Schizosaccharomyces pombe: one gene and its partners. The gene in region 1 interacts genetically with each later gene. Each region holds a gene or a part of one and is shown on either strand. Other genes may lie near its edges.

Evidence for each region.
Region 2: mutations in ire1 (region 1) and pca1 together harm fitness less than expected from each alone (positive genetic interaction), as found in Schizosaccharomyces pombe (one large-scale study listed by BioGRID).
Region 3: mutations in ire1 (region 1) and toc1 together harm fitness more than expected from each alone (negative genetic interaction), as found in Schizosaccharomyces pombe (one large-scale study listed by BioGRID).

The regions. Positions count from the first base shown.
Region 1 is NC_003424.3:1,554,388-1,564,427, forward strand, and holds ire1 (serine/threonine protein kinase Ppk4), read right to left. Parts: upstream 8,432-10,040; 5' UTR 8,348-8,431; coding exon 5,303-8,347; intron 5,253-5,302; coding exon 5,079-5,252; 3' UTR 4,996-5,078; downstream 1-4,995. Other genes in the region: putative TIM23 translocase complex-associated motor subunit Pam17, read right to left, coding at 1-404; U4/U5/U6 small nuclear ribonucleoprotein complex subunit Snu66, read left to right, coding at 747-2,696; geranylgeranyltransferase type 2 beta subunit Ptb1, read right to left, coding at 2,760-3,023, 3,069-3,202, 3,241-3,456, 3,511-3,627, 3,683-3,833, 3,881-3,934; GPI-mannosyltransferase II complex subunit Pga1, read left to right, coding at 4,283-4,570, 4,620-4,740, 4,787-4,914; Tf2-2 (retrotransposable element/transposon Tf2-type), read right to left, coding at 9,829-10,040. UniProt on the Schizosaccharomyces pombe protein: Endoplasmic reticulum (ER) membrane-resident kinase/endoribonuclease involved in unfolded protein response (UPR). Initiates the selective decay of a subset of ER-localized-mRNAs that is required to survive ER stress.
Region 2 is NC_003421.2:2,258,494-2,270,709, forward strand, and holds pca1 (metacaspase Pca1), read left to right. Parts: upstream 1-5,473; coding exon 5,474-5,927; exon of another isoform or gene 5,928-5,973; coding exon 5,974-6,033; exon of another isoform or gene 6,034-6,074; coding exon 6,075-6,172; exon of another isoform or gene 6,173-6,199; intron 6,200-6,218; coding exon 6,219-6,242; intron 6,243-6,282; coding exon 6,283-6,451; intron 6,452-6,490; coding exon 6,491-6,963; 3' UTR 6,964-7,164; coding exon of another isoform or gene 7,165-8,777; 3' UTR 8,778-8,812; downstream 8,813-12,216. Other genes in the region: karyopherin/importin beta family nuclear import signal receptor Sal3, read left to right, coding at 1,789-5,076; pgm2 (phosphoglucomutase), read right to left, coding at 7,165-8,777, 9,215-9,314, 9,377-9,427; F0-ATPase delta subunit atp5, read right to left, coding at 10,391-10,401, 10,477-10,995, 11,108-11,228; SPOM_SPCC1840.07C (phosphoprotein phosphatase), read right to left, coding at 12,144-12,216. UniProt on the Schizosaccharomyces pombe protein: Involved in cell death (apoptosis).
Region 3 is NC_003423.3:2,398,449-2,407,391, reverse strand, and holds toc1 (Tor complex Tor2-interacting protein 1), read right to left. Parts: upstream 3,875-8,943; 5' UTR 3,812-3,874; coding exon 3,689-3,811; exon of another isoform or gene 3,647-3,688; coding exon 2,477-3,646; 3' UTR 2,060-2,476; downstream 1-2,059. Other genes in the region: DNA repair protein, SUMO-related Rad60, read right to left, coding at 1-407, 458-560; rpl35A02 (60S ribosomal protein eL33), read left to right, coding at 1,431-1,639, 1,771-1,888; pgs1 (CDP-diacylglycerol--glycerol-3-phosphate 3-phosphatidyltransferase), read right to left, coding at 3,998-4,254, 4,351-5,117, 5,155-5,639; eIF2 alpha kinase Gcn2, read right to left, coding at 5,938-8,943. UniProt on the Schizosaccharomyces pombe protein: Component of TORC1, which regulates multiple cellular processes to control cell growth in response to environmental signals. Tor2 is essential for growth. Nutrient limitation and environmental stress signals cause inactivation of TORC1.

The DNA of each region.
Region 1 (10,040 bases):
ATTTGTCTCGCTTGACTTTTATGAAGCAGTGTCCATATTTTTCTACCTATACTAGGGCCCAAAAGCCATCCAAGCCCTCCGGATGCAATAGTTCCAATAACATATAGAGTAAATAGATCAAGACCCATAATAGTCATGGTAGGGTCAACAGTACGCGTAAGAAAATAGGCGGATCCTAATCCTAGTCCGGTAAGTGCAGTAGGAATAGAAGTTAAGGTTTCAAAAATCCTTCTGCTTTTTCTTAATTTCAGGAATGTGGGCCAATTTAAATCTTGAGGTTTCTTCTGTTTTATAGACTCAGTGGAATAAGTTTTTACATTATAACAAGTTTTCCATAAAGTTAAAAATATTTTGGGACTTTGTAATCTTTTTACAACTAGACCAGGCCGTATAATAGGTATCATAACGAATCCTTGCTTGTTGGAAAATGTATACTTCATATACGTATCGCCTCAATTGCTCTTCTCTTTTTAACGTATTTTGTTTATTATTCCTTAGCAAGCGCGGACGCATACTAGGAAACGCAACTTTTTTTGAAAGTACGCTAAAATAGCTTAGTGAGATATAAATGAGAGTTTAAGTAAATTATTTGAAACAATATTACGGTTCGTGTATTTCGCCATTCTCCTATTTTATTCATATCCTTGAGTCAGTTGCAAGTTTAGTGTATTTTTTTATTAAAAATCCATATTATTATTTATTTATCAGCATTTGAAAGTCTGTCACTTGCTGTTGGATTTAGTATAATGTCTGGGAATTCAGGCGCCTCTGAATCGATTTCTATTGAGGAGACCAATAGAATTAGAATTTCGCTAGGCCTCAAACCCTTAGATATTTCAGAAGAAAAACCTCAGAAAGAACTTTCAGATGCTTCAGTCAAGTCTTCGTATGTCGATCAAGAACAACAGGCCTATGAAAATTGGAAGAAACAAGAGCAGGAGGAAATAAATAGGAAGAAAGAAGAAGAACTGAAAAGCAAATTTGAAAAATTACGGCAAAAGAATGAACGAAGACGCAGAACGCAAGGAAAAACACTCGCTGAAACATTGGCAGAAGAGGATGATCAAATCGATGCTAACGATACTCGAGCGTGGATACTCAAAATGCGTAATTCCTCATTGAATAAAAATGGCAATGGATTGAATTTTGAAGCGAAGAATGACGCCCCCAGAAGATCCACTCTACATTCGCAAAATGCTGGTCCCAATGTGAATAGCTCATTAGAAGGAATGAAAATAGCACACGGTTTTCAAGATTTAAACAAGAACGATGGTCTAGTCCTTACATTGAAAGATGCTGATATATTAGACGAAGATAATCATGATCTATTAGAAAATGTTGAAATGGTCCAGCGGAAGACTAAAAACGAAAGGAAGGAAGATAACCCCTACAAACCGTATGAAGATGAGAATGATTTTCTTCAACAGTCGGAAGCAGATCAACCGTCTGAAGATACTTTTACGACCATTGGTCCACAAAATAGTCTCACTGTTAATTCTACTATAGAAAAACATAAATCTGATAATAAAAAAACTTTTGGGACTCTTGTCTCTTTCGTTGAACCAACTATCACTGGCAGCGAACAATCAGATTATCGACAAATAAAGATTAAGAAGTCAAAAAAGAAAAAGTCAAAGTCTGATCGGAGAAAGCGTCTAGTAGAACTTGATGCAGAAAATGAAAATGAAAATGACCCATCTGATTTCGTGCTACCGAATGGTCAGAGTAACAGTGATCTGTCAGTTGAGCAAGATTCGGCTATTTTCAAAGAACAAAAGAAAATGAAGATTCAAAAGCGTATGCGCGAATTAGAAACACAGTCGTTTGCTGATGATGATGATTTGCAACAGTCAATTGCAATGCAGAGGAGGCTAGCTCAAAAAAGAGCGAAAATACTTAAGCCAGAAGATGTAGCTGAGCAATTGCAGAATGCCGAAGAAGTCACAGATATGACGGACTCGGACACGGCTTCCGGTTTAATATTTGATGATACGCGTGCTTTTGTTAATAGCATAAAGGAAACTGAAAATCGAGAAGCTCTTGGTTCCATAAATGAACAAGCATTTGAAGATTCCAAAGATTTGAACGATACCAATAGTATTACTGGAAGTTCTCCAACTGAAGAAAGTAATGCTTTAGTGGAAGACACCTCGGTTGATATTTCTGCAACTCTCGAAGAAGCCAATACGCAGCAGGAGAATGCAGAAGATGAGCCACTTGTCTCTGACAATGTTGGTGCAGTTCTAAGCCTTCTCCGGAATAAAGGCGTAATTAAAGTGTCGGATGAAGCGAAAGAGAAAATACAAAAAGAAGAAGAGTACAATAAATGGTTTGCCAGAAAACAGCAAGCCAGAGTTGAACTGGAGGAGCAACGTAGAAAGAAAAAAGAACAAGATCGTCTCAGCGGGAAATTTGAAAAAATGACTCAGAAGGAACGTGAACAGTATGCAAAAAAAGAAAATGAAAGATGGGATAAAAAAATTGCGGAGATAGAGCTTGAACAATTTCATGATTATAAACCTCAGGTGGACATAAAGTATGTTGACGAGTTTGGTGTGGAACTTGGTCCCAAAGAAGCATACAAATATTTGTTGTCTCATCAATTTCATGGAAAAGGTTCAGGTAAAGCTAAAACAGAAAAGCGTTTGCGTCGTATCGTTGAAAAGGAACGAGAAGAACGCAAGCCAATTTTCTGAAAGTACATATTTTATGTTTTTATTTTTTTAATTTATGGTTATGTGGTAGTAATAATGCATCATTTATAATTTCATTTTTTGAGTGACTTCTAAAGGCAGACAAAAACGAGGGTCAACGGGTTCTATGTTTGGAAACTGTAATAGTGATAATCCTGCAAGAGAAAAACATGTGTGATAAACGTCTGTGGCATCCTCTTTTCGGTCTGCAAACCCTCCGCTGTCTGCATCTTGTGTACCTAGAAGAAAATCAATAAGCTGATTACGGTCTATCCAATCTAATTTTCCAATAATTGCTAACGGTGAGAGATCCCACCAACCGTAACAGGACTAGAACTATTAGTAAACATGCTAGACAAAGAGCAATCTTCGTACATCAGGTAACTTTTCAGGGCGACCATTTAATCCACCTCCTTTAACTTGCCGTTCACTAATCCACCAACCCAATAATTCTTCATCAATTAAATCTAACTTGTTGAGAATTTTGAGAGCGGCAACACAGGTAAAAACTATTAGGTCAATAATTGGGTTTTGAAATTAAACATACCCATCGCTCCATGTGACTCAGCTCCAGGACAGAGTCCAAACCCACCATCAAAATTATAGCATTTCATTAACCAATCCACGGCAGTATTTTTATTAAGATAGTCCAATTTACCTAGTATTGCCAGACAATTTATTCCAGAATATAGAAATCTAGCGTCTATCTCTCCCCAGCGGTCTCCTTTCATAGAACCATCTTCGTTCTGTAGGCCAATAATGTCTAATTATTTATAAATTAGTTAAGGATCGCATGTACAAATACAAAGAAACTTACAAGAAGCAACTTTATCTTTGTCAACGACATGCAAAGAGTCCAACATTGCTAAAACTTGTACAGCGTATACTGTATTCGTAATGTGATCATCGTGTCCTGGATAACAAGCAAATCCGCCTAACTCATTGTTAGCAGCCCGTATCAATATTTCAGTATCAGTAATATAACTAACCGCTTTCTGTCAAACAAGACAACAGAAACGATACAATACGTTCTTTGTCAATTTGATCTTTCTTCTTCAATAGCCAGAAGCTCATGCAACTCCAATATATTGCGCTGACGTGTAAATGCTCCTTCAACCAGAAATCCAGCTCATCAGTTCGCTGTTTGTAAGAAAATTGAATTATTAAACTATTTTCTTTTCGCTTACATTTCCAATATCGTGTAAGTAACTTATGTGCTTATCTCTCAGTAAAACTGCCATGTTTTGAGCAATTGTATGAACAGGTAGACGGTTCGTTATGCAATGGTTGAAAACTGAGTGTAATGATCAGTAAGATCTGACAGTTCACGATCCTTCCTCTTTTTGAAATTAAATAACAGCTTTAGATATATAGAATGCTTGTGCTGTAATGTATTACTTCCATTTACGAATGTGGTGGAATAGCACATTAACCAACTAGTTCTTCCTTGACATCCAATCGGTAATGAATTATTGGAATAACCATTCCATCCTTTATATTAAACAGAGATAATAATTAATAAATCCATAAGGTTTCATCTCTGACTAAGAACCAAATACTTGGAATTGCTTTGACCTGTGTTTTTCCGAATGCGAGAGTTCAGGCTTATATTCGTACTTCTTTTCTTCTTGCCCTCATTTGCAATAGCAAATACGGAGATTATTAACGTAGAAACTGGAGATTCTAATAAACTGTTGACCTCGAACTCTGTTTGTGATATTGAGTTGTCTAACAACTCTTCAATTCCTCTATTGTTGAAGCCAAATCCAACGATCCCACAAGCGGCTGGTGCTCCACAACAATCAAAATACACATTTTCTGTGTGTGGCTTAAAACCGCTTCAGAAATACCAAATAAGGGCTTCTTGGCCAGCTGTGGTAAGCATTAATGACAATTTATTCAAGGTCTTAACAATAAATTTACTAGTATCCTTCAGACATAATTTTGAATTACAATATAACTCATATTATTGTGGAAATCAATGCCTCGTTTTATTCTCATAATGAAAGTCTGATGAAAAGACCACCATTAGTTCCTTTACGGCTAGGTATGTTTTATAGAGTTTAAGAAAAAATTATATTAACCTTATTTAGTTGTAGAACCATTGCTGCTTGGGTTTTTACCCAAAAGCGTTTTACCAATTGTCGGATTTGTTTTTGTTATAATCTTAATTGCATTGATTTGCATGACAAACTTATTTATTAAACATAAACGAGACTAGCATTGATATTTATGAATATGAATCTGGACTTAATACGAGTATTAGATGAACGATATCTTGTTTATACCAAAAAGAGAAGAAGGTGAATTATAAATGAATGTATTTCATAATAAATAAGGATTAAATTACATATAAAATGACTTTAAGAATTTAGTATGTAAACGTCAATACTCTAGATAACGTTTAAATTGACTTTCCTCGTACAGGACATCTTTAACCAAATGATAACAATGCAATAAAAGCATTGGAAATTTTTCAACAAAATAACTTGTGAATCCGTCTGGTAAATCGCCGAGTACACGACGCACAGACTCCGGTAAGTCTTGATAATGGTGTCTCTAAAAAAGGAAGTTAGTAAAAGTAAAATAATCATCCATTAAATTAATACCTTATTTCTTAATACCCGAAGAATGTCGAGAATTTTGGAACCATCGTACTTCCGATATTTACCAAGGTTATCAACTAGGGACGAGTGTAAACAAGTTGTCCAGTTTTCTCCAATCACAGATTTCGAATTGTTTTCAAGCATTTGAAGTAACGGAGAAGGTGGATCTCTTTCTTCAACTTCGAATCGATCAGAAACATCAATTAAAAAATCAAGCTTTTTGGCATAGTCCCAAAATAACGGATGATTCAAAACCACTTCGATTGTAGGACGCTTGCTTGGCTCAAATGCAATCATATCCTCAATCAAATCAGCGGCCAACACACCACACTCTCCTAATGATTGCAAATGTACCAAACAATAATTTCCTTTAAGAATGTTGCCCTCACAATCATAATGGGAACCAAACGGGTGCATCCCACCAGTTAACGTATAATAAAAAATACAACCGAGGGCAAAAATATCAGTAGCGTGGGAAGCTTGTCGGATTCTACCTTCACGAGTTTTCACTTGTATTTCTTTCGATTGTTGAGACAGGGAACCACTTAAAATTTCCGGAGATCTCCAACCATAAGAACCGGCTGCCTCAAAAGTGGTATTACGAAGACTGCTTTGATTAAAATCTAACTTCTTGCTCAATCCAAAATCGGAAATAAGAGCCCTGACTCGAGTTTTGGAAAGATTTGGCGAATTATTAACAACAAGTAAAATATTTTGTGGCTTTAAATCACGATGAACTAAATCCAAACTATGTAAATGAGAAACCCCAAAAGCTATTTGATATAGCAATGAAACTAGATCAATCGATTTGAATAGGTCATCATAAGCAATTGGTTTTTCGATTAAATCAGATAGGTTGCATTTACATAATTCGATGACAATGTAAAGGAATTGGTCACTTTTTTGTTTGCAATAATAACGAACGATATTAGGATGATTATCACTCTGCTGTAAAAGTGTTATTTCTCTTGATGCTAAGTCATAAAACTCCATTAAAACTCTCTTGACAGCTACCTCCCTATCTTCATAAACACCACGATAAACAATTGTACCATGACTACCATAACCAATTACTTCAGGATAAACAGTCAATGAGTTTACAGTCACTGAACCATCAGTGTTTTGGATTACAGTTGCCTCAGGAAGATGACTTTTTAGGCTGCTATCGAGACTTTTTTGTAAAGGATCAGTTGATTTGTCTTGAATTTCAACAATATTTTCACTCAAGATATCCAATGTTTGATTTTGTTCAAAAGACGCCTGGCTTTCTATCTCGTTGAAGTTAGAAGAAGCCGAATGCTCATCGCTAACTCTCTTTCTTCGTTTGCCTTTACGCCGGCGTTTTGAAGTATCAATTTTATTATTGATAGAAACCGTATTTTTCTGAGATTTTAACGGTCTGACTTCAGAAGAGCGAATCCTAAGAATGGAAAAGAAGGTAACAATTGTAAAAGACACACTTAGGAACATTATAACCCAAAATGTGATAGAAATAGGCGTAGAGGAAATAGGATTTGGATCTAGTAAAGGAATAGGTTTTTTTCCAATTGAAGGTAATGTTTTTGTTGAGCCTTCAGATTCCACGTAAGAAGGAATATCATAACCAGGAAGTCCTGGCAAAGCAAAAAAAGGCTTAGGGGTTGCCATTAGGGAATGAAGTCCAAAAATACTATTCAGTGGAATATAAAATCCATTGTAATAAAGGAAGGAAGCTTCCGGAGCAAGTGATACCAAAGGATAATGACGTTCCGACATCGCAAACCATGCATTACCTATATGATTTATGTATACGTGTTCAGTTTTGTTTCTTGCAATTTGAGGAAACATCGTTTCTAGGTATGTGTCAATCGGTTGTCGAAGCAGAACAGAAGTCGGAAATTTCGCAGGTGTTTGAGATTTGTCTATCTTCTTGTTGTGAGGTAAAGTTACGATATCAAACACTGTGGCAGCAGGAGACATCAAAGGGATGTTCTGTTTTATGAACTTGGAATGGGTATCAACAATGTGCAACGAACTGTCATATGATGAAAGCGCAAGTTTCGAATCAAAAGATGATGAATGAAAAGATTCATACATTATTTCGTTTTTAGTTGGTGTCCAATCGATGTAAACCAAATCAAGTATGACATTGGAATCAGAATATATTGTTATGAAATATTCCGTTCTAGCAATATCAACAAACGATTTATTTGAAACAGTAACCTGGTAATTGAAATCATCAAGCAAGTCCAAACTTTCAGACAATTTTTTACCAGAAGGGTCCTTAAATGATAAATCAGAGTCTGCGCCAGAAGGTACAGAATCTCTTTTTGTACCTAAATTATGCACAGAGTGATGTGTTTCATATCTATGGCCTGAAGGGTATTGAGAGACAATATCCCCGTTTGAAACATCAATAGTGAATAACGTAGTGTTTTTGCTACCAACAAATACATTGTTGTTTAGCAGACGGATTGGTGATGCATGAACGAGGTCCTTTATTGAATGAGGAAGTCTGACTAAGCCAGTTTGTAAATTAAAAGCGTACAATATTCCGCCATCGATAGGTTCTACAAACCAAACTGTATCGTCGTCAGATAAGTAACTGATGTTTAAAGTAGAATCACTGTAAAATTCCCCATGAGTACTATTATAAGATTTAAAATTTGATTGACTTAAAAATTTACTTGACAGAAGCGAATTTTCATCTTTTGTGTATGAGAGACCTGGATTAGCGTTTGTGAAGAGCGACCAAAGTTCTTGGCCGGTAATTCGATCATAAGAATGCAATGATCCATCAACAGTAGCAACTATGAAGGCATTATAAAGACTAGATTCTGCGAAGACATTCTCTGCCGATGGCAATTCTAATACGCCATCCACAGAGGAAGGTGAATCAGCAGTAGGTGAAAAAAGAGCTAATTCATTGTTTGCTTTACCATTGGTTCTTTTATCAAAATAATTAAACGAAGAAGAGGAAGAAGAAGCCCCATGAGCAAATAGAAGAATCAACAACGAAAAAAAGACGAATTTTCTTAAAAATAACAGACGCCCTTTCAAACTCTTCATTGGTAAAAGTTTTTAACAAAAATATTTTTTAAGAGCAACTTAACTAAAAAATTCATTAAAGACGATACATTTGAAGTAGGTAGTAGGTAAACAGATTTGCTCAATAGGTTTTATAAGTCTACTGCGTTAAGTATGGCTAATGCATGAATATTACAATAAAAAACACCAGCTTTACCTTTGAGTATGTAATTGGTGCCAAAAAATGGGAAAACTCATTAAAAGTTTAAGTTCTACTTTATCCAAGGTGTTTAGAAGTAGAGTAGCCTAACATTATTAAATGGAACAGTTGTTGTAACACATTCACTGCAAAATTAGTTTTCGTTCGTTCTAATAGTTTGTGCATATGAGATTTACTATTTCATTAAAAGAATGCTGAAATAAATCTGGTGGAACGCGGATTCGTTGTTTTCCTTTAGTACAAAGTATGCATTATCAGAAGACATAACCTATTGATTAAAACTTATTGTATTAGTAGTAAAAGTTAATGTATTATTACATCGCATGTTAATAAACCTGTTAAACCGTGTTAATTAAACCGAAACACTATCAATATAAAAAATATATATTCTGCATGCTGACATTAGAAATCAAGAATTGGAAATCTGCTAGAAGTTAGAGGCATATATACTTCTAAAAAAAATTAGTGTACCAATGCTTAGACCTCTTATTTGCTTTGGGTATAGTCATCCATAGGCAAAAAAAGCATATATATTCAAATAATTTTACTTTACAAACATACTGTCTACGGCCATACCTAGGCGAAAACACCAGTTCCCGTCCGATCACTGCAGTTAAGCGTCTGAGGGCTTCGTTAGTACTATGGTTGGAGACAACATGGGAATCCGGGGTGCTGTAGGCTTTTTTTATCTTAAATTCACTAAATTCCCCTAGCAGATATGAAGATTGGTTGTTCAATGCCAAATTAGTTCTTCAAATACCTTGTATTGTTTAAAAGGTTGTCTTAAAGTTAATTTCCAGAGATATTCTGCTTTGATAATTTAAACAAAATGTATGCAGGTTTTGTAAATCCATAAGCTAATGAGTTTAAAGTCTGCAATATACACGAATATCAGCATTAATATTGTAAGCTACGCAGTTTGGTATCTGATTTAAGGATACGTAGAACTGCGGTGAGTTTTCCTTGTGATCTATTATATTACAATACACAGGTTGTATAAGTAGCAACTGAGTATAGGTATTGTATTAACTGGGTTATAATGTTACCTATCACTAATATAGCTCATAACTGAACTGAGGAACGAGGTTCAGCAGTAGCTCTATTTATAGTATTCAGATAATATAGATCTTAATAGATTATCATTAAGATCAATCTCCATATCGTATCATACATGGTACGATATATAATTAGAACATGTGACATATAGTGATACGCAACGTAGTGTATTATAGCGTAGTGTAGTATTGCTGACATTGCCCTCCCTAAGATTTTCTATGTAAATCTGAGGATAAGTCATATGTTCTCAGATATTTAGATTATTGTTTTTAATATAATCATTGACAATTGCTTTGTCCGCTTGTAGCGCTGTAGCTAATGTAGTCCATCCTGACATAATAGTACTCGGATTTAGATTCGAAATGTACTTGACATTTAAGTAGAGTACTTGTTCTCTGTTTTTATGTTCTAGGATATGAAGAATTGTTCCAATATCAGACTCATCAATGGTAGCGTAAT
Region 2 (12,216 bases), on another chromosome or scaffold:
TCCATGTATTCAAATCTCTTAAATTGAATTCGTCTATTTCGCCAATTGTCAATTACGTTTCCATACCGTACATTTGAAGTAACGTTAAAAATATTTTAAAAAAACAAATTCATTCGGTTGCATGTTCCGATTCTAGTAGAACGATATTATTTGAAAATGGTTTCTTTCTTCTAGTCTACGAATTACCGATTTTTTTTCTCGTCATGAAATCGCCCGCCATCGGGAACTTAACGAATCAATTGTACTATAGCGTCTCGGTTTAAAGACGGAAAGGAAATTTTAGTTGGTTTGCTATCGTAATTCCCTGCCAAAAGCAATGTAAAACGGGAATCCGAGATAACAGCAACCCTGGGAAAATCACTGTTTCCTATACCGGTTTCTACAACATTATTCTATAACATTATCCAGTGAAGTTAAGACTAGCGGTGGTAAGTTAAGTCTCCTCATTGTTTACACATCGCCTTTCGTCCTGAATGCTAGCGAATGTTTTCAAAGAAGTTGATTTATGGAAATCGCTAGACATTCAAACTGCGTAGTATAACAAGCAGCGTCGGTTGGACGATACATTGGCGGAAATTTCAAAATTAAAAGAATTTACTTCTCTTGCTCTACTACATTTCCTTTTTATCGCTTTATTTTTCTAATAAACCTCTATTAATGCTCTTTATGCATACCTTTCTTGTTAATTCTATACTACACTAATCTTATTCTATCCTAATTCTGGTTTCCCGCCAATTTCAATTTAATATGACTTTATGCAAGACAAAAGGCCGAGACTTTATCCATGCAATTGTTTAAAATAGATCAGACATACTTACATATAAACGCTTCCAAAACAAGCTTAGCGAACAATAACTTAGCTTGCACTGGTACATCGGAATATTCACGATTATTACTAAATTGCCACTCATCCCTGATTCCTGTATGTGCTAAAATTTCAAATTACTTTTTATCGCTACATTGTTATGTGCAGCCTCGGATGATACCGACTATAATTTGATACTAACTAGTTTGTAATGATGGCATTCAAAATGTTAGCAATTCATTCACCATACCTGTCTCTACTAGTGTATGTAATTGTGAGTCTAATAAGAAAAATATGAAAACCTTAATGAGCATGACACTTTGTTTTCTGTTCATCACACTCATCAATAATTCAATGGGAAAACGAAATGTGAACGGATTTTAAGTTGCTGGAATGGTAAAATGCGTTCATTCAATAATGTGGAATTAAAAAAAAAAGACAAGAAAATAAAAACTTACAAATTTAAAACATACTTCATAATCCAAACTATTCTATTTTTTTGTGATTTGAAAACGAAATCACAAATTTTCCTTATACGAATTTACAATCCTTGTAGAACACTATGTAAAGTTAACGTAGTTTACAAGAATAGTGTTTTTTTTTGGTAAAAATTATCACTGTTGCGATAAATTAAAAAAACGATGCGCAACATTACTTTAAAAATTTGATGCGATTCATGTAATACACTACACCACAAGTCGATACACTCCTTTCTCCATCTGCCCTTGGGGTTCCCTTAGTGTAGACAGTTGGCACTTCTACTTTGTATAGTATCGCTGGCTTAATTTAGGTATTATAAAAGATAAAACTTGCTTCACTCGTTAATACTAGAAGTTCGGCCTTTATTACCATTTTTTACAGCCCAAAACATTCTTGGTACCTCAGCCTCTGACCGAACGAGAAAGTTGTATTTAAGTTTATTTACCTTTTTCCTCTAAAACTGCAAAATCCACGTCTCTGATTGCTCATTTTTTTTTAATATCATGTCTAGTGGATTTCCTCCTGAAGTATTGTCTCCTCTTTTAAATTTAGTTCAAGGCCTTTCGTCGCCTGACAATACTGTCCGAAATGATGCTGAAAAGTCTCTTAGCTCAGACTGGATAAGTCAAAGAGCTGACTTATTATTAAACGGCCTTGCGATTTTAGCTTATCAAAGTGAGGACCCAGCTGTGCGCTCCTTTTGTTTAGTTCTTTGCCGTCGTATTTCCTTTCGCACCTTACCAGGAGACAGTGAGTTGGAAGTGTTCTCTAGCATTTCAAATGAGTCCAAACAGTCTTTGCAAAGTCAACTTCTAGCTTGCTTTGTTAAGGAGTCAGTTCCCACTGTTCGTAATAAGCTTTGTGACACAATCGCCGAGATTGCTCGATCTATCTATGATTGTCAAGGCGAATGGCCAGAACTCATTAACGTTATCTTCAATGCTGTTAACTCTCCTGATGAGTCTTTTCGTGAATCAGTTTTCCGTACCATCACTTCTTTACCTCGTTTATTGTCAGGTCAAGATAGTGCTGTTACTCCTCTCTTTACCACCGGTTTAGCTGATCCTAGTATCCGTGTAAGAATATCTGCCGCTCGTGCCTATTCTGCCGTTATTCTTGAGAGCAAACAATCCACTCGAGATCAGGTTATTCCTCTTTTACCTAGCCTCATGAACATCCTTCCCCCTCTGCAACAAGATCGTGATTCTGATAATTTGGCGGACTGTCTTATGGCCATCACTGAAATCGCCGAAGTTTTCCCAAAGTTATTCAAACCTATTTTTGAGAGCGTCATCGCATTTGGTCTTGGTATCATTAAGGACAAGGAGCTGGATAATTCCGCTCGCCAAGCTGCTCTTGAATTGCTTGTTTGTTTTTCGGAGGGTGCCCCTGCTATGTGTAGGAAATCTTCCGACTACACTGATCAACTTGTACTTCAATGTCTCTTGCTAATGACCGATGTCGCTGGCGATCCTGAGGATGAGGCAGAAGAACTTCAAGAATGGTTGAACACGGACGATTTGGATCAGGATGAAAGTGATGCTAACCATGTTGTCGCGGAACAAGCCATGGATAGACTTTCTAGAAAGTTGGGCGGAAAAACAATTCTTCCTCCCTCTTTCACGTGGCTTCCTAGATTGATCCCGTCTCAAAAATGGTCTGAACGTCATGCTGCCCTTATGGCCATCTCATCAATTGCCGAAGGTGCTGAAAAATTAATGAAAAAAGAGCTTAGTCGTGTATTAGATATGGTACTTCCTTTGTTAGCTGACCCTCACCCCCGTGTTCGATGGGCTGCATGCAATGCTGTAGGCCAAATGTCTACAGATTTTGCTCCTGACATGCAAGTCAAGTATCCTTCTCGCATCCTCGAGGCATTGGTACCTGTTTTGGAGTCTCCAGAATCCCGTGTTCAAGCTCATGCTGCTGCTGCAATGGTTAATTTCTCTGAAGAGGCCGACAACAAGGTTCTCGAACCTTACTTGGATGATATCCTTCAACGCCTTCTTACCTTGTTACAAAGCCCTAAGCGATATGTGCAGGAACAAGCCGTTACCACTATAGCTACAGTTGCTGACGCTGCAGCTAAAAAATTTGAAAAATATTTTGATGCCATCATGCCGTTATTGTTTAATGTTCTGCAACAAGCTGACGGCAAGGAGTTTAGAACCCTTCGCGGTAAAACTATGGAATGTGCTACTTTAATTGCCTTAGCTGTTGGTAAACAACGATTCCTTCCTGTATCTCAGGAATTAATCCAAATTTTAGGTAACATTCAAATGGGTATTACTGACAGTGATGATCCTCAAGCTAGTTATCTCATCTCTGCCTGGGGAAGAATTTGCCGTGTTTTAGGAAGCGATTTTGTCCCATTTTTGAGTTCAGTTATGCCTCCTCTGTTGGTTGCTGCTACCTCGAAACCTGACTTCACAATTATAGACGACGAGGTTGATGAAAGCAAATATTCTGAACAAGATGGTTGGGAGTTCATTCCCGTTCATGGTCAACAGGTTGGTATTAGGACTAGTACGTTAGAAGACAAGTGTACTGCCACCGAAATGCTTGTCTGCTATGCTGCTGAGTTAAAAGCTGACTTTGATCCTTACGTCAATGAAGTTTTGACATCTGTTGTACTTCCAGGATTGAAGTTCTTCTTTCACGACGGGGTTCGTTCTGCTTGTTGTAAGTGTATTCCTCAGTTATTGAACGCTCGGATTTTAGCTAGCAATCGTGATCCAGCTAAAGTCAATGAGCTTTGGGAGCCTATTTTACGAAAGCTGTTGGATCATATACAAAATGAACCAAGCGTGGAAATGCTTGCCGACTATTTTGAATGTTTCTATCAAAGTTTGGAAATCAGCGGCTTGAATCTGAGTCCTTCTTCGATGGAAGCACTCGTTGCTGCCGTTGATTTGCAGCTCAAAGGATTCATTTCTCGCGTGCAGCAGCGTGAGGAGGAGGCTAAAAATGGTGACATAGATATTGAAGAAGATGAGGACATGATTCTTGCAGTCGAAAATGATCAAAACTTGTTAAACGAAATAAACAAGACTTTTAGTGTTGTATTAAAAATTCACAAAACTGCTTTCTGCCCTTTTTGGGAAAGGCTACTACCGTACATGGATGGCTTTTTGTCTGGAAACGACACTGTAGCTAAGCAATGGGCTCTATGCATGATGGATGACTTAATTGAATTTACTGGACCCGATTCTTGGAACTACAAGGATCACTTTTTGCCTTACTTAGCTGAAGGTATTCAAAGTAGCGAACCAGAAATTCGACAAGCTGCCTCGTACGGTATTGGAGTAGCCGCTCAGCATGGAGGAGAGTTGTATGCTGAAATCTGCTCTAGTGCTTTGCCCGCATTGTTTAAGATGCTCGAGCTTCCTGATGCCCGTGATGAAGAACAAATTTATGCCACAGAAAATATTTGTGTTGCGATATGCAAAATTTGCCGCTTTTGTAGCCAACGTGTTCAGGATCTTGACAAAGTTGTAACGTATTGGATTAATACACTTCCTGTAACACATGATGAAGATGACGCTCCTTATGCTTACACTTTCCTTGCGGAATTGATGGAACAAAATCACGTGGCCGTTGCCTCACAAATGCCAACGATTATTACGATTTTAGCAGAAACATTTGCATCTGGAGTTTTACGTGGAAGAACTTTGACACGTTTGATGGAAGCTTCGAAGGTTTACTTAGCTCGTTTCCCTGCTGATCAAGTTAATTCTGTCATTGCCACTTTGAGTGTCGATAATCAGAGAGCTTTGTCTGCACATTTTTAAATTTCATTTCTTTCACTCTAAGTCTTTCAATATTTTCTTTGGTTCCTCAAAATGCTTTAGTTAGTTTAGGTTAGGTTAGGTTTTTATTTAATCCATCAACAATCTTCGGATTTTGTTTCACTCTTTTTAGACTATGCCGGCTAGGTTTTCACTTATTGCTTTATACATTACTTGATTTTTCATCGTATTAAATTATTTCTTCGTGTAGCAGCTCTTTCGTGTATAATACGTTTTGATGTGTGGTATGATTATAATATATTGCTCGCATCTTTTGCAATTAATTTTTTTTTTAAATGTATATACTGTAGTCAAATTGATTTTGCTTTAGTTATAACCTGTGAGATCTGGTATTTTATTGAAAGTAGCATAGTTAAGCACTATCCAACTTCCCATCAACATGAGCTACAACTCCAATCCTTATAACGGTGGGCAATATCCACCATATAATACATATACTAGACCTAATTATTCACCAAATAATGGTTCTCAAAGTAATAACACTGTACATCAATATCAGCCTCCACGTATGCCACCCCCTTCCACAAGGCCTCAGACAGACGGCAATTCTAATCAAATCCCTATGGAGAATGTTGGTCATATAAGTTTGAGCTCTGCAAACTCCCATGCTTATGCCCCACCCTCAGGTCCGCCTCCGAATACTGGTGCTAATTCTTATGGCAACCCAAATTATAGTGGGCCTCAGCTGCCAAACACTCAGACTCAATCTTATAACTTAGCAGGAGGAGGAAACTTTCAGTATCAGTATTCAACTTGCCAAGGGAAGCGAAAGGCTTTGCTGATCGGAATTAACTATCTCAATACCCAAAATGAGTTGCAAGGTTGCATTAATGGTACGGAATGCGAAAGGTCAAGTAAACATATATTAACTTGTTTAAGATGTCATGTCTATGTCCCAACTGCTGATACAGCGCTACGGTTACAAGCAAGAAGATATGGGTATGGTTGATTACGAGAACATCTTGCTAAAACTTTTTTAGTTATTATGACAGACACGGCAAGCAACCAAAGGGCAATTCCCACTCGTCAAAATATGTTAGATGCGATGAGATGGTTAGTAAGTGATGCCCAACCTAATGTAAGTTATATGTCATGGGATTTACTTCCTAATGCTAACTATTTAGGATGCATTATTTTTTCACTATAGTGTAAGAATCATCACTTTACATCTCATACTCACATGCATAGGGCCACGGAGGGCAAACAAAAGACCTTGATGGAGACGAAGTTGATGGTTATGATGAAACGATATATCCACTGGACCATCAATATGCCGGGCAAATTATAGATGATGAAATGCACGAAATAATGGTTAAGCCTTTACCAGCAGGATGTCGTTTAACAGCTCTCTTTGACTGTAAGTCAGTGATTTTAATCTATTTTTAACAAAATATAGCTTGTCATTCAGGTGGAGCTCTCGATCTTCCTTTCACGTACTCTACCAAGGGCGTTCTAAAGGAGCCAAATATGTTAAAAGAATCTGGTATGGATGTACTTCATGCTGGCCTTTCTTATGCCTCTGGCGACATTATGGGAGCTATCAACAACGTGAAAAATATATTTACCAGTGCTACCAATGGATTTAATAACAACGCTCTACAGTACTCTAGACAAGTTAAGTTTTCTCCTGCTGATGTTATTTCTTTATCCGGATGCAAAGATAATCAAACAAGCGCAGATACAAGTGTTAATGGATTCGCTACTGGTGCTTTATCATACGCCTTCCGTGAAGTCGTCACTCAAAATCCCCAACTTAGCTACTTGCAGTTGCTGAGAGGTATTCGACAAGTACTTTCCAACAAATACTCACAACTGCCCCAATTAAGTTGTAGTCATCCTTTAGACATGAATCTTGCCATGGTTTTATAGTACACTAAACATTACTTGATCATTGAAGTTCTATATTTTTGTAGTTCCATCAGATATTTAAGGAATTTTCAATTAAGGATAAAATTTAAATCACAACAACTCAGGAAATCATATCTAATACTTTATTGAAATATTTTTGTTTGCAATTTATAATTTTGCTTAAAAAACGAGCTCAAATTAAAATTATACACGCGAGAAAACTCATGGCTCTTCCAGTCCGTTCTGTTGGGGATGAAACCATTCAGATTTGATAGCCTGTTTAACTTCTGTAGCATTCTTTATGGAATCTTCAAGCGAATGTCCGCGAGCACAGATATAAAACTTAAGTTTCGGCTCTGTACCACTTGTGCGAATAGTCATAATTACCTCTCCATTTTCAAGCTCAAACGTTACGTTATCTGAACTTTTTGAAACTGGTAAAGTAGCTTTACCATCCGTGGAGCTTGAGTCGTAACCTGTAGTAAGGTCGCGAACATTTGTAATTTTCTTACTACCAAGGGTTGCCGGATAACCCGATTTTGTGTCATAATGTCTCAAGGCATCAACCAAAGCACGAAGCTTGGGAGTGTCGCGTGAAAGGAAATATGAGTTTTGCGTAGTGTAATAACCATATTTTTTAGACATTTGCTCAAAAACCTCGGTAATTGAAAGATTCTGAAGTTGAAGGCGTTTCAAAAGATGAAGGAACGTAATCAAAGCATTAACCCCGTCTTTGTCTCTAACTATACTACCTACCATATAACCAAGAGCTTCTTCATATGCCAATCCAATAAATTTCCCTTGTTTTTCCAATTCTAATGCTTTATTGCCTAACCACTTAAATCCAGTAAGTGTTTCAACATGATGGAATCCTTCTACTTTGGCCATGGACTTTACCATAGCACTAGAGACAGTAGTTGACAAAACGTAAAAATCATCAATTGGCTTTCCAACGTTTTTGTATTCTTGAAATATAAAATAGGCAAGGATACAACCAACTTCATCTCCGGTAAATCTTCTCCAAGCACCATTAATTTTTTCTGCAAAGGCGAAACGATCTGCGTCAGGATCAGTTGCAAGGACATACGAAATACCATTAGCATCAGCTTGCTCGTAAGCCAAATCCAATGCCCCCTCCTCTTCTGGATTTGGAAATTTCACAGTCGGAAAGTCAGGGTTTGGAGAATCTTGAAGAGGTACAGAAATCATATCGCCTTGTTCGCCAAATAAGTGTAATGCTGAAGTAACAAATGGTAATCCAACGCCATGAATAGGAGTGTAAACAAATTTCAAAGATTTCATTTCCAAGGAAAAGTTGTTTTCGGAATGGAATTCGTGGAGCTGAGACCAATAGTTTTTTAAAAGACCAACTGCAAAATCCCGATCTGCTAGTTTATGATTTTCAACCAAATTTTTGTCCCAAGTAATGGGCGTTAAGTTTTTTTCTATACATGCAGCAATTCCCTTGTCATGGGGAGGAATGATAGCACAACCGTTTCCCCAATAGACCTTGTATCCGTTATAAGCTGCGGGATTATGGGAAGCAGTAATCATAACACCAGCTGCAGTCCCTAGGGTTTTAACGGCAAAAGGGACTAAAGGGGTATGGACAAGATGATCGAAGAAATACGTTTTGAATCCTTTTTGCAAGAACACTGCAGCAGTAAGTCGAGCAAAAGTATTAGACTTATGCCTATGATCGTGTCCAATTACCACACCCAGCTTTGCAGCTGATGGTACGGTTTGAAGCAAATACTCAGCGAAGCCTTGTGAGGCTTGAATCACGGTCAAACAGTTCATGCGAGCGAAGCCAGCACCAATTTCAGCTCTCAAACCTTTGTAAACATTAGTAAATGAATAAACGAACTTGATAATGTTAAAACATTAAGATGTATAGAGAGAACAATCGCAAGCTGAAAATCTAATTACACTTAAACCAATTTCGTACAAGCACGTTATATAACATTCCAAGCAAAAAAGACCAAAACAGATAGAAAAGAAGAAGAAGAACGAAAAACTCTTTCTGAAATATGACCAATATGATCATCACAATAAATTAGTATACGCAGTAAGGAAAGTGACCGATGATCAAGTATATCACTTCGACTCTAATCAAGGAAAACACAATAAAGTAGTTTAAGCTACCGGCTGTAGCACTGAGAATTCTTTATTAAGAAAGAGGCATTATTTAGCGTTCTCTTTCAATCCACTTCAACTTGCGAAATATCTCTTAACAATCTCAATTTTTTCTTCTTTTGTAATAAAAACATACCAGATGTACCAAATCCAATCCTTGGATGCATAATTTGCTTGAGGGTGGCATAATCTTCAGCCTTAATCAATTGTGAAACTTCATTCCTCGTAGTTTCATCCTAATGCGTTCAATCTGTTAGTTCCACAGTACTTCCATAGTAAATATAGTCCTAATACTTACTTGATCTAATTTGAACCACTCATCTACTAATTCTTGCAAAATCGGATCCATCTTGCCAAATGGGAATTGTTACCATTTGTTTGCTACACACACAATACACGTATCTCATCACCTCGTTTAACGCGTCCTTACGCCGTGGTATTTCGTATCCGTTTTCTTACAAAAATGATTTTAATAAAATAGACTCAAAAACAAAAAGTAGTAATAATATTATACTCATGACCTCCAATTATTCTAGAGAATTTCTTAAAACATTAGCTGCAAAAAGAAGCCTAGTAATTTGAAAGCAGCAGTTAATTACGATATATACCGCTTACAAAAAGGAGAAATTGGAAGAATTCAAGACCTGACGTCAATTCGCAAGCTGAATCGTTTTAATTAATAGGCGTCGGACAATGGGATTCACTTAGGCTTGGCGACGTTCTTGTCTAAAAATTGCTTGTCGGAATGTGTCATTGAACCGAAAAGGTTTGAAGCTCTTGACTAATAAACAACAGTAACTGATGTTAACTTTTTATAGAATATCCCAGGTTTCAATTCAACACGTTTATTCATAAATCTCAATCTATGTTATGCAGATGAGATTGAAAATCAATACCATCAAGTACAACTTCTCTAAACTGAACGGGTTAAGTATGGAATGGTTTAAAGTTTTAAGTACTGGATCACTCCAAGCTTTGAGATACGATAAGAAAATTAGTGTTAGTACATTTGTGGCTTTAATCACACCTTTTCCATAACCAGGAACTAAGTTTTCAAAGATCTACTATTCGATGATGAAAAAATAGCATTCATAAAGTTGATAACAGCATACATAAATGAAACTGAAATATTGAGGAGGTAAGGCAAACATGATGACCATAGTTTCAATTGACTATGTAATACGTACTATGGCTCATTAAAACCTATCAAAGAAAGAGAAATACGAATAAGAGGAAATTCAAGCCTGTTTAGAATGAGAAGAGAATAAAGATTGGGTTTTGGCGAAGGATACGCTGTTGCATTAAAACAGCCTTAAATAGGTTCTATAAATGGTTAGCATGTAAAAAAAATTAAAATTGAATCATGAAAAAATATTAAAAAATAATAAAAAAACCTACCACTTAAGAGCTTGTTCAAATTGTTGAGACGAGAACCAACACTGACATCAAGAATATTATCACCAATTTCAACAATTAGTCCACCGATGATAGAAGGAGTAACTTTATTGCTAACCAGTAATTTACCCTTGCCATATTTCGATTTAGCTATCCGAGATTCGAGACGAGAAAGGATCTTCGAATCTAGAGGAGTAGCTGAAGTAATTTTAACTTCAATTTCTCCTCTTTTAGCGCGCATCAAAGTAGAGAATTGTTTCTGAATACGAGTTAAGAGATAAAGACGATGATTGTCTAACAAAACATTGTAGAAATTCTTCAAAAGGGGTTCATTTCCAGTCATCTGCGTCAAAGAACTAACCAATATTTTCTTATCCTCACGAGTCAACCAAGGACTAGAAATGTATTGTTCAAATTCCGGTCTCTGTTGAAGAACACCAGACAGTTTATTTAAGGCCTTCTCAACATTGTCCAACTTGGATTCTTTTACTGCAGCGGTATACAGAGAAGAAGCATAAGAACCTAAATAAGAGAAAAGAGTTAATTACCAAGACAAAAAATTCAGACTTTTGGATGACAATGAAGATATCAGTCAAAATGGTAGCAATTAAAAATCACCTTTTACAGTACATACCATCTAAACCATACAACTGGACAGGGGGATGAGCAGAAGCAGTTGCAGTTGCTAAAGAGCGAATTCCTAAGGAAGGTAATCGAGCAGTGATGGGAATGGAGCGACGAAAAATATGATTCATTGTAATGTTTCACACTCTCAACGTTTAAGGAAGTTGGTTAATGGCTCCGATCATACCTCCGTTTTGGTGTCATCCTTTAAGAACAAGCTACAACGTGCTTCCTTGCAATACTTTCTTATTCAGGTTGTTACCTACAAGTTGCCTATTTGTTAAATTGAATACAGGTTGATTATTAAAATGAGATTAATTTGAAATGTTGTATAAGTGGTTTTTCTTTTTTTTTCATTAGATAAGAATCAAATGCCAAATTTTAGAAATACACGCAATTGATCATTAGCAGTATTGCCAAACAATATACACTAAAAGCCTATGTGGTAGGTTGCCTAGTTGCCTATTAAAGACTTACATATTCTTACTATTCTAATGTATATCACCTATGTTTCTGGAGATGAGAGGAATTGTTGTGTGTGCAAAACCTACGATGGCAAATGATTCAATTAAGGGTTTTCATGTGATATTGTTCTTAGCAAAGCTGCTTCTTAAGATTGATTAAATTAATACATAAAGTAGTAAATCTAAGAGCAACTGAAAAGATTTCATATAGTAATTAAAAAGAAGGTAGCCGTAGGCAAGATTGTGCAAAGATTAGTAACGATTTCCCTTAGGAAATGCTGGAATTCAAAAAGAAGAGATAAAATGTTTAAAAAACCTTGAGATAGAGAAAGCCTTATTTCTTCAGAAGCCGAGAGCCAGCAAGTGAAAAGACATATAAATATATACCATTCAGGGCCATAATCCAAAAAAAAAAAAAAGAAAGTAAGCAAAAAGAGTTAAAACAGTTCAACGCAAATGTTTTCGACACCATTGTAAAATTGAAGCGTTTAAATAATATGGAAACCATATTTAGAAAGATATAAAAAAAATGAAAAGTTCCAATTGGAAACAGCTTCAATGTTGAGATTCGAAAAGATTAATTTACAGCTTCACTATTTTTCCACGATAAACTGCTTCCACTATACTGTCCGTATCATTTTGAGAAATCCTAAGA
Region 3 (8,943 bases), on another chromosome or scaffold:
GTGAATTTGTACATCCATATCACTTGATGATTTTTCAAACTCCTGAACTTGCCGATCAATTTCCTCTAACCTACGAGCAAAGTCATCGTCCAGCAGTGATGAAGTCGTAGAAAGCGCAGCCTCACTATTAATGCTGTTGTTTCGCAAGTTAGCGGCCGCCCTAGTATTATAAACTGGTGAAACCGGTTGTGTTACACAGGAGATAGCACTTTTGGGTGAGTGCCTACCTTCATTCAAACACGCATTAGGAGTAGTGTCTGAAACGTCTTGGTTGCCTTCATCAGCATCTAAAATAGTGGATTGACGAGATAAAGGTTCGGCACTTTTGTTTTCATTATGAGTTATATTTTTCTGTGCATTTATGTGTTCTAATGCTTGTTTATTGGTATCAAGTTCACTTTCCTCTTCTAGAATGTTGTAAGCAAGCTGACACTTTGCAATCGGAATTAAAACTTACCAGAATCTGAGGAAGAGGCTATTAATTGCTTGGCATAGTTTAATGGAGGCTTTTTAATAGGCTTTGAGAAGAATGCTAAGTCATCTTCATCTAGGTTGTCCATTTGGCGAGTTTTAGCAATTACGGTGGTTCCACAAAGCTTCTTATGGATTTAACGAGAATTTGTAGCGACACACCTTAAACTAGGTAATTTTTAGCTTAGTTTTGTTTTCACTCAAGTTTATTACAAATCGATTTTGAAAGTTATATAATAATTTTATAATTCAATTGAAAAAGTTCAATGAACATTCCTCCAACTCATCTTCGAAATGAAGTTTGTTTACTTACGCAAAACCCGATCTTGTCCACTTAGCAAACAGATTTAAGTCTATAGAATTTCATTTTTTAGGTTAAGTAATTTGAAAACTCTTTGCTTCTTGTACTGAGACATTAGGTTTGATGAATTTCAATGACATTGGCTCACCTTACGACGGCTACATTGCGTCCGTCCATTACTGCCATTCATAATTTGTTCTTCATTCGCTAAATAAATTTTATTTAGTTCAGATAAAACCAAATTGTTGTACTATTAGAGATACAATGAATAGGTTTAATCAGCCGATATTCCTATATTCAGTAGTAGACTATTCAGGTACAAGATATAATACTAAACAATAATATGTAAACAAAATCGAATATTATCAAGTTAGTCCCCGTTACTTTATATTGATCATTAGAAAAACTTTACACTATACTGTATTGGTAAGTGAGAGATAATTTTAAAAAATTGAAGAGTATCTTTTTAAGATTATATAATGAATTAAGCTATATGATCGCAATCAATAAGATTATGAAGTACGTTACACTATGCTAGATTTATGAAAGTGTTTACTACCAACACAAGCTTAGGTTTTGCAAGCACAAGAAGGGCAGTCACAGCTTAAGCAAACGGTAAGGATCACCACACTAAGAGTTCCGCCTTTACCAAGTCAAAATGCCTGCTCAGGGACACAGATTGTACGTTAAAGCTAAACATCTCTCTTTTCAAAGAAGCAAACATGTTATCCACCCAGGAACTTCTTTGGTAAAGATTGAGGGATGTGATTCTAAGGAAGAAGCCCAATTTTACCTAGGCAAGCGTATTTGCTTCGTCTACAAAAGCAACAAGCCCGTTCGTGGATCCAAGATTCGTGTCATTTGGGGGTAAGTTTATTTTTGTAATTAAATTCTTGCGTTTCTTTGGAGAATATGAAGAAACGTTAATGCTATATTTTCACGGTCGTTTTTTGTTGGCTAAACGAATACATTCAAAACCTTTACTAATTACGTTTTAGAACTGTTAGTCGTCCTCATGGAAATTCTGGTGTTGTTCGTGCTCGTTTCACCCATAATCTTCCTCCCAAGACCTTTGGTGCCTCTCTCCGTGTCATGCTTTATCCCTCCAATGTTTAAATAAAATATTTTTATGTTCACAACAATTCTTCTGCTTCTTAGATTTATTTTATTTAGGGAATCCCATTTTATCGAAAGCCTCGTTTGTTATACAAAGTAATCAATGCTTTTGGTATTATTTACTCACTAGGAATTTGTAATTGGTACATTAAAACACAATTATTAATTTAAGTTTAATCAATATTGATGTTAAATAACAAAAGCTGTAAATTTGTATAGGTAACTTTTGAGAATCGTTTCACGAAGTATCATTTCAGTCGTCTGTTCTTAGGGTGTTGATGGGCAACACTGCATCAATTACTTAGGTATTGTAAATTCACTAGTTTGGCGTCTAACCTTTAGTACTGAATACTACCTTGTTTATGCAGGTAGTTCGATCGAATACTGTCGAGCATGTTTATAATCGGCTGTCGATCATACAAATCAAAAGCAAATCAATTATTAACCCCAACTATAATTATTTAAAAATAGTATAAAATAATAGCAAAATTATTATCAACGAAACAAAATCATCAAGCATTCTTTGTGAGAAAAAAAGGAGCGCAAGAAATAGTCCTAAATTGTAAAGATAAAACACATAGACGCTATTCAATTTAAACTCTTCCAACCTTGAGCCAAAAACGACTGTTTATAAGGTCTAAAAGCTTTTGAATTGTCAAGATCATCACTTAATACATAGCCCATACTTCGGGCTTGGATACTTCGACTATGTTCGTCTGCCTTTTTCAACATTTGGATCCATCTATTTTTCCGATCGACAAACGAAGAGGGTGAGGCTTCAAAGGAGGATTCTGAGCTAAGACTTGACGAAGGAGAATGATTTGTGAATATAGGAGAAGAATCAATATTTAATGGTAAACTTCCTGAGTGAATTTCCATAGCATCCACTTTGCTAGTAAAATCTTCATTTTCCTCGTCGCTCGGAATCGTGGTTGACATTTCAAGTGAATCGCCCGATTTGTTATTATTTATGTTGTTTGTGTCAAAATCGAATTCAAGTTCTTCATCAGATCTGAAAGTTAAAGTAGATAGATTTTCTATATCGTTTAACGAATCCGAAGACGCTTCATAGTCTGGGTTGTCAAGTTTGAACTGTTTGGAATACTGCATTGGCTGGTTAAAATACTTGCCGGGCTTGTCCGAAAAGGCAACTTGATATTCATCAGTAAAAGCAACATGCTTTTTTGGCTTCGATTTTCGACGTTGAGTAGACCGACTTTCGTCGATCATGGCATGGTCAGCATCAATGGCATCACTCGACTCCTTTGGTGATGCGATATTGCTATCATATATGGTTTTCACTTCCTTCTCTAGTGATTTCTCAATTGTCGAAGCATCTTCTAACAATTTAGTTTCGTAGGCTTCATAGTTGAGTTGCTGATTACGCATAAACGCAAGTAGTGATAAACGATTTGTTGATCTCTTTGACAACAAAAGTTCTTCGACTGTACGCTTAATTTCCTTGTTTACTAGTGAAGAAAATGAAGCCCGTATTTCATCTTCCCGAGGTTCAGCTCGCGCTTTAATTATGTCCATTCGAATGCCCAATTCTGAAATAGGAAAAGATGCTCTTACAGAAGAAAGAGAAATAGCTGAATCGTATATGTAAACTTTCACGTTTTCTTCTTGAAATAATTTCTGCGGTTCCTCGGATATTTCAATATTTCCCTGCACAGCAAGAATACATAAGTTGCAGCCTCGACAAGCAACAGCTGAACAATTTTCAGCTTTGCATATTTGCAATAAACTATAAATTTTCTATTGAATTAGTTATATTTGATTTCATTAAGGTTAGCGTACAATTTTTATGAGATCACGAGGAACAAATATCCATTGATGTTTGGTTTCATTAGGAATTCCTAAAACACGTATATTGAGACATTCACAACTTATTCCATCGCCAAATGGCGATTGCAATTGCATTAAATCTACTATGAAGATTTCGTCAACGCTCGAATCGCGTTGCTCAGTGAGATCGGCGTTGGCAAGAATTAGGTACGCCGTTGTCGATGTAATATAATTGATACAGTATTGTGCTATACTACATGCTTAATAACGCCGAAAAATCTAATTCTTGATAATTTATTTATAAATTTTATTAAATTCATATTATAATTTTTTCTTCATGAGAGAAGTCAAAGCCTTCACATACATAGGAACCTTTTCTAACTGACAGGTATTCATAGGCTTTGTGTGCTGTTTAATAAGTTCAATTTCAGTAGAAAATTTTCTCTTTAATTTTTCATTCTGTGTCATTACAACTAAGGTGGATTCAAGGTCCAACTGTTGAGACCTACTCGTATAATTGGAAGACCCAATCGTCGTTAAAAAAGGATGCTTGTGATGTTGTGTACTCAACCAAAATCCTAAAATAGTGTTAGTGAATTTTTCAAAGATATATGACTTAAGTGCCGTGCTCCAAAAAATATTTATAATGGAAAACGACAGACTGTAGTGTTTACCTTTAGCATGATATGTATTCCCCTTATTTTGCCATTGTAAGACATCAATATTTCTTTTCTTCTTTCTTGAATCTTTAAGAAATTGTTCAGCAATATACTGATACGCTGGTGGAATTAATTTCGATGGTCCAGGAGATCGATAAAATCCATTAGCCTGTTGAGAAGCCACGATTACTTCCCCTATACCTTCAGATTTCAACAACTGTTTTCTAAGTGCTGGATAAACATTAAAATAGCCAGCCGTTAAGGTCCAATTAACCTCCTTGCGCGATAGCAAGGTCCCGATTATAGACAAGACCTTTTCTTCAGTAGAATGTACGTCAGAAGTAAGGATAGGTACACATTGAAAAAGTGGGTATACGATAGCAGATTCTTCATATTTATGAAATGGCTTATTGTTGTCATCACCTGCTTGATTAATTAATTCAGAGCCATATACTGATGATAACGGTTTAGAAGGGTTGCGAGACAAGAATTTCTCTCGATTCCCCTGAAGAAGTTGTTGAATTTTAGCAGAAGCTGCTACCCGAAACTCTTGAGGATTTGTTAAAGGATTTGGACATGAATTGTTCCATTTCAAAGTAAAAGGAATAACCGGGGACGTAGAAGATAGTTGAATTGAGGAATCGGATAAATGAGGGATACACTCAAAAGAAAGCTGTGAAAACAAAAAATGCGTTTTAAAGAAAAAGTCCGCTAAACCCTTATCACTAAACAAATAATACCGGTCTTTTCGATTTGTAAAGTAATCTCTCGAAAGATTGGCTCTATTCGTTAGTATAGTAAATAATCATTTGCCTTTACCCGCTGATAATGAGGTTATCATCTGCACCATATATTTTCATATGCTGCAATCCCCATCCCTCATTAAATCTGTGTGGAACCAATTGCTTTCTTAGTCCACGCAAATTCGGTGTATGGTAAAGCTTGATTTCGCATCTATCAGGAAACTTCTTTTTCAATTGCATTAATAGAGATGCAGAGCAACAACCAGGGCTTTCCCTAGTACACCGCAATTGATCTGCCAGAATGTGAACATGCAAAGAGGGATTGTTGCTTAGCGCATTTGATAGACAATTGATCAATTCTCGCTCTTCTTTTCCAATGTATAGCGTTGATAGAAATATTCTTTTTTGAGCTTTTTTGATTAATTTTTTCAAGCGTTGATAAAACTCAGGAGGTTCATGAATGATATCAATATCATCAACGTTAACATAGAATTTGGGACACACACCGTCAATCTGAGATTCCAAGTTGACAAATATGTTTTTCTCTATTCCTTCATCCATTAGGCTGTTTAAATTGGTGTGCTAGGTTAGTGTGAGATACATTGAGCTTGCAAACCCGTTCATGCAGTAGAAAGGTCAATATCCAACGGTAATTTGAACGTGAAATATAGAGAAAAATGGTATAAAAGCAGAACTTCCATGTTATATTAAAAATAAAAAGTATCAAATTGACTCTAACTTACTTAACAAAAAATAATATACCGATCACGAAATATACACATTTAAAGTAATTTATAGCAAAATTTTTTCTATTTAATTAAAAGAGTAATGAAAATTAAATGATTAATTAGTTCAAAATTTATTTAAGTCCATAAAGATAAATTTCGTTTGTCCTGAATGAGCATATCCAAACCCGCTTCTTATCTTGTTCTGCAAGGGTGACAAGTTTCTTTTGCAGTCTCTGCATATATTCCCTTTGAGAAGCTGGGCAACTTTCTATTAAACGTTTCCAAGACTCCTCATCAAGCGTAGTGGTACTACGAAGTTTTTCCATAGCTTCTGAGTCGCAATCCACTGCTAAAGCAATAGCATCTTCTGAGCTTTCACGAATGGCTGACTGCACTAGATCATAAACTTTATTCATAGCATTTTGTTTGTGTTTCCATTTATACTTTCTATCATTAACGTCTTTAAGCGAGATCAACTGTACGTCGAGGTTGGATTGAGAGGTGTCAACGAACTTTGCAACATCTTGTTGAGCTGAGTCTAATATACGTTTCGACTGTAACATGCTTTCGTTTCTTTTTCTTTCATTAATTTCTCCCAGCAACCACATCCCAACTTCATCAAAGCGTATTTCGTCATCTTCATTTTTTAAAATATTTCGAGCCTTGACTGAATGTTCCATCTGGGTATTTTTCTGACGCACGACGAGAACCCAATTAATGCCTTCACTTCGATAGTGTGTTACAATCTCTTCTAAACTGCTAGCACCCCTTAAAACTATATCCGCTTGGATATTTAAAGCCCAAAGCTCTTGCAAAAGTGAGCATTTTTCTAGGATTGAATCCTTGCCAATACTAGTAACTAAGACATCAACTCTCCTTGGTGCCCAAGGGCCTACAGACTTTAAAGTTGGTGAAGGAGAATGCTTGCTTGACTGCTTACTATTGTGAAATCGAATATATCGCAGCATTGAAAATACTAGTTTTTCAAGGGCAAAACATATTCCAACAACATGCTTTTTTCTGGCAGTTCTCATTAGAGGAGGATCGAAAAAGCGTACAAGCTTGTCATAACGACCACCAGCACAAATGAGTTCAGATTTTTCCGCCAAGTTAATTGCTTGAAACATCAAACCTCCATCGTAAAACTCAAAGTTATAAACACATAAAGGCATGAAGTATAACTGATGAGAAATTTTTAGTGCTCGAAGTAATTTAACCACTCGCTCCATATAATTTAAAGCAGTTCTCATTTTCTGTGGCATTTCCTTCCCAAAAATTTTTCTAAGTTTGCTAGCACCTTCTTCATAATTTTCCCGAAAATCAAACAAACTCAGATCGTCTAAGGTGGTAGAGGGAACTAATGACTCAATACGAAGCTGGTTCCGTACCTGTGATAATGTTAAGCGTTGGTTGATTTGTCCAAGTATATGAGTAGCCATGCGTCTTTTATCCTTTGATACTTGTAAATAATCAAGAATGGAGGAAAGAATGTCAGCGTGATTAATTAAGATACAACTTTCTGTCAAGGATGGTATCTCTGTTAATACTTCGTCTAATGCTTTGATTGTTTCTGCATCATACCAATCCAAATTATCAGAATTCGTGGTAATGTCAAATGAAATTTCCTTTATAGCCTTTGGTCTCCCTCCACCTTTGGCTTCCCGAAAAACGTCAGAAATTAAGTACGTCTTTTCTTCTTCCACAGCGTTTCTAGCAACATTTCTCGCGTAAGGAAGAACCGTATCATATGGAAGCTGTAAAAGGGTACCATTTTTATCTAGTAGGGAAACAGAAGCTTGGTCTTTATCGTATTGAGAAGACTTTGGGAATAGAATATGTGACTCACGTTCCTTGGCTCCATGGCGACGAAATACTTTAACTACATGATCACGTACTAAACAAGCTAACAAACTATCCCATCCTCTATCCGACACTTTCGACAACACTCCACTTTCTTCACTAAGGTTGAAGTCGTAAGTAAAGTCTTTATGACGATCGGGCACTTGGCCGAATAAAACTTTCAGAAGCTTTAAATAATAAGGAGTATTAGGGTTGGACAAAAGACGAAGGCCTTCTTGAATAAACTCTTCACCAACTTTTGGAGGTATGGCTTCACTTTCAAGGAGTTCTTGGCTCGATGGTCTTTTTGTGGGATCGTGTTGTAGAAGACAATGAATGACTTTGAACTCATGGCTAGCACGGGAAAAAGGAAAAGTGGAAGGGAACGATATAGATGGAGATCTAATAGTATCAATTATCCGAATTCTTTCCATAGAAGTAGAAAAAGTCATGCACATTTCGAAGAGTATAATACCCAAGCTATACATATCAACCTTTGCATCGTAGCGTACCCCATTACGCCTACTGAGAAGTTCAGGAGCTACGTACAAAGCTGTACCGACACCTGTTGTGAGATCTTCATCTGCTGATTGGCGATTTTTCCATTTGTCATTGTTATCTTGGTAATTTTCATTTTCTGTAGCCAAGCCAAAATCACCAAGCTTTACATTTCTATTTTCGTCTAAAAAAATATTTCCAGGCTTAAGATCTCTGTGCATCATTCCCCGACTGTGAATATATGCCAAAGCTTCTAAAATTTGTCTAAACAACCGCCACATTTCATCCACAGGAATTTTATCTCGTATGATATCTTGCAATGACAACTTTTCACAATATTCCATTTGTATGTAGAGCGTAGCATTCAAACCATTTTCTTGTGTTTTAACTGAAGAAGCTTCTTCAATGCTGCTGTCTTTATCGGAAGAACCTTCTTTATCTGAAGTATTAGAATACTGAAAGGAGATGTCAGAAGCTTCAGGGTCTTCCTCGTCTGCAGATGAATTATAATCATCTTCAAAGTGAATATCGAGGCTAGAAAGCTTATCGGCTGGAAGACTTGAAGATTGCCGAAAGTCCACTGCCATATTTAAAGATTGACTCAACGACTCACTATCGGAGCTAATTATCTCAGTTACAGTATCATTAGCTTCAGTTTCAACCCAAGCAGTATAATAACGCACTACATGTTCATGATGTAAACGAGACAAAGTCATAACTTCACGTAAAATTCTGCTATTCTCTTTATCATCGCTCAAAAGGACAAGCTTTTTAACCGCATAAAACCTTCCATCAATTCG